2 linked regions of the Oryzias latipes genome follow. The protein of the gene in region 1 binds, or shares a complex with, the protein of each later gene. Links are inferred from orthologs where the notes say so. Each region holds a gene or a part of one and is shown on either strand. Other genes may lie near its edges.

Region 1 (3,829 bases):
CATTATACCATGGTCCGGGTGAATACCCGATTCTGATTGGCTGCTGGGTGTGCATTAAAACCTGATAACCGCACGGTGAAAGAAGAAGTTCCGGTCACCTAGTTTAAATGTTTTGTATCACTGCTCTGGCTTCTTCAAAACAACCTTTTGCTTCATCATTTGGACAAAAACAAGTGGTAAGAGGTGAACTTTCTCTCTGAACTGATGCTTCATTCAACCCATTGGAAAGATCAGCATATATATATCGCCGAATCTTGACTGCAGCGGTGGTCCATCACGTAACAAATAGTCCGCTTTTTGTGAGAAAAGTGATCCAAATTGGAAAAAAAACAAGAATTAAGGACTAAAAAACTGGTTCAAATGTATAGATTTTGTAAGTGACCATGGTATAAGCGGGTTAATGGCCTTGGAAGTGTGCGGTTATTACTTTTTAACGCACTTCGCGTCGGACGGTTCAGGCTTCCACGGCGTGCGTTAAAAAGTAATAACGCACACTTCGTCGGCCATTAACCCTTACTTATTACTTTTCTCAGATTCAAATTTCTTTGACCATCGAGCTTTTCTTTCAATAACGGAAGGGTAACAAAAATGTTGTCCACGTGTGCATCAGAACCCCACTCTGAGAGCTTAGACTGGTTGTGGATACCAGCTGATTTAAAAACTCCTGTTGATTTGATGGGGAAAGGCCTTGCATTACCTGCTGGACTCTCCTGCTGCTGATGTATGTGGACAGCACAACCATAAGAGGTGTGTGCACTTCTTTGTCTTTAAACAGTTCAGCTGCTGCAATAAAACAAAAGAAAGCTTGGATGAGAGAGCAGGACCTGACGAGGAGGAGGTAACATCGTGGAGGCAAATTCAGTCCAATCCATCACAAGTAAAGAACCCACAACGTAGTTTTTGGATCAAAAATGAAAAATGAAAAATTTACTGCCAATTCTGGAATGAACTTTGTTTGAAATTAAAAGTTTAAAGGATGTGGAAGTAAGTAAAATGTCTGTTTATTGGTCCCTGTTGTTGTTTAAATAAAAACATTAAAAATGAACATTTTCCTCTGCCATGTTTCTTATGATGGAAGACATGTATAAAGAAAATAAATTCAAACTGCATTTCTGAGTATTTCATGATTTGGTCATCAACTAAAGTCCCACTCTGATCCTCTTTTGATCTATTTTCAAAGCGTACTGAGTGGCCTTTTATTTATAATTATGCTGTTTTTAGCTCAATTCAAAATATTTGTCATAATCTAGGACATGGTTCCTGCAGAGCAGCAGGATTTCATTCTAAATTTGCTTCTGAGTTATGGGTGGGACCGTTGCAGAGCAACCCCCTCTTCCCATTGCCCATCTGTTCACAGTCTCTCCCACTAGCCTACAGACCCTCACAACCCCAATCGATGTAACCAAAAGGCGAGCAACATCGCCCGGCAATATGCAGCCGTACAGTTTTGATCCGGATTCCAGTCCAGTTTGAGAAATCAAAGTCATACGTGGATCTATTCGTCTGCAAGTGGATGCATCAGAATGGAGCAGAGCAGGAAGCGTGTGCCCCCCCCCCCCCCCCCCCCCCCCCCCCAGTTTATTACATCTACATCACTATTTTACAAACAGCATTTTGTCATCTACTCCCAATTTACAAAAATTTGAACCCAAAAATACTCAAAAATATATGTCCTCCGTCATGAGAAAAAAAAAATGCCACAAGAACACCAAAACCATCGGATGTACGACTCTAAAATTCAGATGGAGACATTTGAAGGCAGACTCAATTCTAGTCGTTCTACATGCAGCTGTTATCTGCATGAAAGCCTGTGTTTTAGGGGAACTTTTCTGAGTCAAAACGAAGGTATCAGCAGGACCTCTGGCTGGAGAGCATTTCTGTTTTTTGGGTGTCGGCTTGATCTGAAACTGGCAGGTTGAGAGATGAACTAAAAAGACACATGTTTTGCCGGCATGCCCTTGAGCATCACAGGTTCAGAATGGGGGGTTGGATGTCCTTCAGGTGGTTCCGGGGCACGATGTCTGCTCACACGGGAGAGCAGAGTTGACCCTGTCGGAGGTACTAACCCTCAGACATGGATTCATTGGAGTTAAAGCAGTCCTGCTTTGTTTTTGTCCACTCATGGCAGTGGCATTGTGCCGTTACCATGGAAATGGAGTTTCAACAGGGATAAAGTCATTTTAAAAATGACCATTATTATTGAAATTATTGTAGGGGGAATATTTTCCAAATAGATTTCATAATAAAAGTACATCTAAGATCATAAACCCAAATAAAAAAAAACATCATGCAGACTTTTCAGGGACATTCAAGTCTTTGCTAAACAAACTATTTGAAATATTCTGTAAATGGGAGGCTAAGACGTTGATGTTTGTTTGTTTGTTTTCGTTTGGTGGTGTTGGGGGGGGGGGGGGGGGTGGTTCCTACCGGAGTCCTCGAGCGCCAAGGAGAGCAGATCCTGGATGATCTGGATCAGCGTGGACATCAGCCTGTCCTCCTGAGGAGACTTCAGCCTCACCAGAAGTTTCCTCAGCCGTTCTTCTAATTCCTCCTGGTCGACCATGCTCCTGAAAGTCTCCCGGTACTAGTGCATTGGTCGAGGTCAGTCGGTCGGTGTTTCCCGGAGAACAAGACGAACGAAGAAGAGCTCGCGCTCACCGCGCCGTAGACGTTAGCTAAGCTGCTCCATGTTCCTGCAGCGACAGTGAGCCGAGCCGAGCCGGGCGGGGACGCGGTCCCTGAGTAACTCAGTGAGTTCCGGCCCTGACCTCATCCTCGAACCACTTTCTCTGAGAGAAGAACGTGTTCCTCCTTCTTGCGGCCTCGGAGAATCCGAAAAGACCGCGGTTCCTCTCTCTTCACAGGCGAGTTCCTGTTTCCACGCACTTCAATCATATGACTCGAGTCTGAAAAACACTTCCCGTTTACACAGGAGACTCACTGGCAGCTGTCCCACTGACTGACCCGGTCCGTTCCGGTCCGCCCTCCTCACGACGCCTGACAGCTTCGCTCACGTCCGCTCATCGTTTGACTTCATGACAGTCGGTAACGTAAAATGGTCAATTTAACAAAGAAAACTCAATAAAAAGACTTTACACTGACGATGCCGTTTCTTTTCTTATTGTTATTTTAGGCCAATTAAAAACCATCACCCTTCTTCCTGACAGTAATCCCTCCTCTGCTGAACAGATGCTAGATTTATTAAAGAAGTCTCCGTTTTCTTTTCGTTACCTGAAAGAGTAAACTTTTATTGTATTGCGCACTTACGCCCGGATTTACGGTAGTGTTGTATGGACCGTCAGTGGTCCAGTAAAGAAAAAAAACTATGCAGGTCCCAATGTGGAAATAAATTCATTTAGTCTTATACCAAAATTAAAAATCGCATTTTACAAATATGTTTTACGACAGAGTATTAGGGCCACAATAATAATAAGAAGAAATAGCCTAAAGAAATAGACGAGAATAAAGTCATAACTGTATTAGAAAAATATCAAAATTTTGATTGTAAAGTTGTAAAAAAAAGAGACAAGCGAAAAAGTTAAGACAATAGTCACAAAACCACAAGAAAGAAAGTAAAATATGATGAAAATGGTCGTAGAATTACATGAAAAAATTAAAAATGTAACAAAAATAAAGTAATGCACTTATGAGAAAAAAGTCAATATTTTGCTAAAAGAAAGCTGTCAATTTATTAGAAAAAGGGCTAAGCTTCATGAGCATATAAAGCCCTGCTTTTAAAACGAAAAAAGACAACATTTTATGAAAATAAAGTTGTGCAATAAAGTAATGAAATTAGAAGCGAAAGTCACCATTTTACGAAAATAAATGT
Region 2 (3,923 bases), on another chromosome or scaffold:
GATACAAGATCATTTGGAAAATCATTATAAACGTGCTTAGACCAGAAGTTATTTTTAAATCCTGAACATTTTTATCTGCTGCAAGAAAAGTGGCCAAGTCACGATAAAACAAACAGGAAAAAACGCAGAGAAGAGAGTCATGTACATGACTCAGCATGCGACTGAAACATGTCCAGCAGTCGATGACAGTGGCCTAGTTTACAAACCTAGTGGACAAACCTCATGGTTTAGTCTGCATGGTTTCTTTGTTTCCGTTTCATTTTTGTGGGGAAAGATTTATTATTAATTATAACCAAATGGAACACATCTTATAAATTGTAACTCATGCTGTCTTCCTATGTGTAATATGTAGGACTACTTACATTCCCTAAAACAAAACAACTGATTGAAAAAAAATAGGGATTAAAAAAGGGATTCAGCAGGTAACGAAAATGGATGGATGGAAATTAACATAAAAGTGTCTGTCACTAGGCTAGAAATGGGTTTATCTTTGCCTTAAAACTTGAATTTTAAAATGAGATTTGATAGGAAATGACTTCCCTGTGACACCAGCCCCCAGTGGTTTGCATTTAATTTGAGATTGGGAAGTGGACGCTTTATTCTACTGCATTCAAAAAGTGTTGTCTGTGTTCTTTTAAAGATCAGAACCAACACGTACGCTGGCATCATAAACCATTGAAAAAGAAACTATTACATCCCCTTTATTCACCTTCTAAACCTGGTTTAAACATCCAAAAGGTAGCTTGACCATGTTCAGATGTCTAAGTGCACCAAGTTCCTCCAATGGAACCCATCCGGGGTTCTGACAACCAAAACCCCGGATGTCAGAGTGACAGACAGAGTGGAGAGACGGAAACTACGGCCATTTGTACTATTTTCAGTTTTTTCAAAAGCTTTGTGTAACCCTTGTGCCATCCTAGGCACTTTAACATTGGGAGTTGGGTCATCTAGACCCACTAGACAGTGCGCTGAACCTTTTTTCTTCAATGATTTGTCAACCTCACTGCTGTCCATGGATTACATGAAATCTTTCCACCTTTATCCACCTTTGTCATGGTAGGGAGAACACGTCAATGCAAGGGTGAGGTCATCTAAGATAGCACAAGGGTTAAAGTCTCTGTTTGAGTTCTGTAAAAGATCCTCATTTTCTTCTTTTATATTGTCTCGTACTCTTGCAGTTAAATGCTGAAATAAAACATTGCATGTTTGCCTCATAAAGCAGATTTCCGGTTTGAACTTTGAGCTGCTGGGAACTTCACGACTAACTTGATCATGATCATGTGACAGAGAGAAGACGAACGATGACAGAGCACCTGCTGAAAATACTGATTGTTGGTGATGGAAATGTTGGAAAATCTTCCTTTGTAAACCGTTACATCAGTGGAAATTTCAACAGAACATACAAGATGACTGTAGGAGGTACGTTCATATCTTCTAGAACTATACATATGTGCTCTTGTTACTTTATACTGGTATTCACAAGAGAGGAAGCTCTACTTCCAGGTCAAATTGTCAGAATAATAAATCCGCTGTGCAATCTACCTTTATTTAAATATATATTTGTATATATATTTGTCTTGTTTAGTCAGAACATATTGTGTGTAGCAGTTTTTTTATTTCCTTGAATAAAATAAAATACTCCAGTTTACCTAAAATATGCGTAGAAAGGTGTGTTTTCTTTGTCCACACTGTAAGACGAGCGCTGTCAGGCTTTTTAAGCTGACTGGCTGGTTTCACCTTGAGTCACTGACTTCTTTTATGACTCAAACACAGCCACCTGTGTGGTTCAGGTTGAGATCAGCGCCCACTGTGGTCAACATGCAGGTTGTGGTCACATGGGTACTGACAGTATTTGTGTAAAGCTGACAGGGAGCAGAGACTACAGACGGCTTTAGGCATGTTTATGCAGTAGCTGTAATCCGTAACAGAGGCTAAACGCTGGTTCATAATCAACTAGAGGCCAGACGTTATGTGTCACACTCACTAAAGGATGGCTGCAGTGGAAGGAAAAAACACTTTTTTCCCTTCATTGTGTTCTCTGTTTGTGTTTTTTCAAACACACTTCTAGTGGATTTTGCTGTTAAACTGCTGCACTGGTCCGATGAAGAAAAAGTCAGGCTGCAACTTTGGGACATAGCAGGTACAAAGTGATTTCCAAACCAACCTTTGCTGTTATTGGTTATGGATGCAACAGTGAACTGTGTGTCCTCCTTTCAGGCCAAGAACGCTTCATATCCATGACCAGAATCTATTATAAAGGTGCAGTGGGCTGCATTGTGATGTTTGACATCAGCAGCTCATCCAGTTTCCTAAGCTGTCGCCTCTGGAAACAGGACCTGGACCACAAGGCCATGCTGCCGAACGGAGACACAATCCCCTGTCTCCTGCTGGCCAACAAGGTCATTCAGTCATAATACTTCATGATACATCAGTATAATGAACAGGCTGCTACACAACCAATACACATGTGACTGCAGCTGATTGCTGATGGGCTTCACATGGAAGGTTTTTAAAATTCTAAATGGCTCCAAAAAAAGGTTCTTGTTTCGTTACGGCAGCTGTATAAGTCAAGACACCCGCCGTCACTCGGTTGACGACAATTGAAAGAGCACAGTCAATGAGACTGAAATAGACCTACTTATCACTGAAAAACAAAAGGGAGTTGGAACAGTGACAAATGGAATAGAGGTCTTGTTTAAAAAACTGGAGAGAAACAATCTGAGATCATGTGTAGAAAAAAAAGTCTAGGCATGTCTGTGCAAAAACAAAAGTGTGTATTTTTATTATTTGAAACAAAGGTTTTTGCAGCAGCAGATGTTTTTGTTTCAGCATGTTATTGTAGTGTTTGTATTTACTGTGTATAATCATATGGAGAATCGAACTGACTGAGTGAGTGTGATGTCACCCATGAACTACTCTCGCCAATCAGGAGTGAGCTTGTTGGAAGGCCACACCCCTACCACTTGAAAGTAAGCTCTGGATATGAGACCACATACTTTTATTGAGGCATCTGATGGCAAGTTTATAACTTGAAAAACTTGCAGTACAGAAGAAAACAAATATTGTGAATTAAAATTAGCATTATCAACAACATGTTAAAAAGGCTAGAGTAAGAATGGTTATTCAAACAAATTGAATGATATTCAGAGTAATAGCTGTTTTTTTCTCTATAGAAGACTGCGGGATTTTTAGCTACTTCCAACCAGCAGGAAATTTCCTGTTTGGAACACAAGGGAAGAGGGGTCACTCAGTCCAGTTCTCATATACAGTCAATGGTGTAAACCTAACCTGACAAACCATGACTGTATTATCAGTTTACCAGAACATGAGCGGATCTGTTTTTCCTTTCACCAAAAAGAAAAAATTGGTCTCATGATTGTTTTTGCCAATCTTGTATTGGCACACTTTAAACACAAGAGCAAACCAAAACAAGAGAAGACACGACAGCTTCTGACAGTGATATCAACTTATTAAACATGAATCGCAAAAGGGTCTTGTTGCAGTGAATGCTGAGAGATTCTCTGTAAGTTACTGTCCTTTGCTGCTACAGTGTGACCTGGCTGAGCGGGCCGTGTCGGCAGACACTATTGATCAGTTTAGCGGAGCTAACGGCTTCTTCACCTGGATGGAGGCTTCTGTCAAAGAGAACAAGAATGTCGGAGAAGCCATGAGGTAAAAAAAGAAGACTCAATGTCAATGTAAAGAAATGATTGCAAACCTTTTAGAGAGTCATGACAAAAAAGTATTTAGTCAGCCACCAATTGTTCAGGTTCTCCCACTTAAAAAGTTGAGAGAGGCCTGTAATTTTCATCATGGGTAAACCTCAGCAATGAGAGACAAAATGAGAAAATAAAATACAGATAAATCACTTTGTCTGATTTTCAAAGAATTTATTTGTTTACTATTGTGGAAAATAAGAATTT

What was found.
Region 2: the proteins of lrrk2 (region 1) and ras-related protein Rab-7L1 are in contact, whole or in part, in a cryo-EM structure (PDB 8FO2), measured with the Homo sapiens proteins. The link is inferred for Oryzias latipes from reciprocal best matches to the Homo sapiens genes LRRK2 and RAB29. Residues at the interface, in NP_940980.4 of Homo sapiens: Arg361, Lys362, Arg399, Met402, Leu403, Leu406, Met407, His408, Leu437, Ser438, Lys439, Gly440, His442, Leu443, Asn444, Glu447; in NP_001129134.1 of Homo sapiens: Leu7, Val42, Asp43, Phe44, Ala45, Leu46, Arg58, Gln60, Trp62, Leu76, Tyr77.

The regions. Positions count from the first base shown.
Region 1 is NC_019864.2:2,194,829-2,198,657, forward strand, and holds the start of lrrk2 (leucine-rich repeat serine/threonine-protein kinase 2), read right to left. Parts: upstream 2,894-3,829; 5' UTR 2,564-2,893; coding exon 2,428-2,563; intron 784-2,427; coding exon 698-783; intron 1-697. UniProt on the Homo sapiens protein: Serine/threonine-protein kinase which phosphorylates a broad range of proteins involved in multiple processes such as neuronal plasticity, innate immunity, autophagy, and vesicle trafficking.
Region 2 is NC_019865.2:28,348,066-28,351,988, forward strand, and holds the start of ras-related protein Rab-7L1, read left to right. Parts: upstream 1-1,183; 5' UTR 1,184-1,301; coding exon 1,302-1,419; intron 1,420-2,068; coding exon 2,069-2,140; intron 2,141-2,217; coding exon 2,218-2,399; intron 2,400-3,550; coding exon 3,551-3,672; intron 3,673-3,923. UniProt on the Homo sapiens protein: The small GTPases Rab are key regulators in vesicle trafficking. Essential for maintaining the integrity of the endosome-trans-Golgi network structure.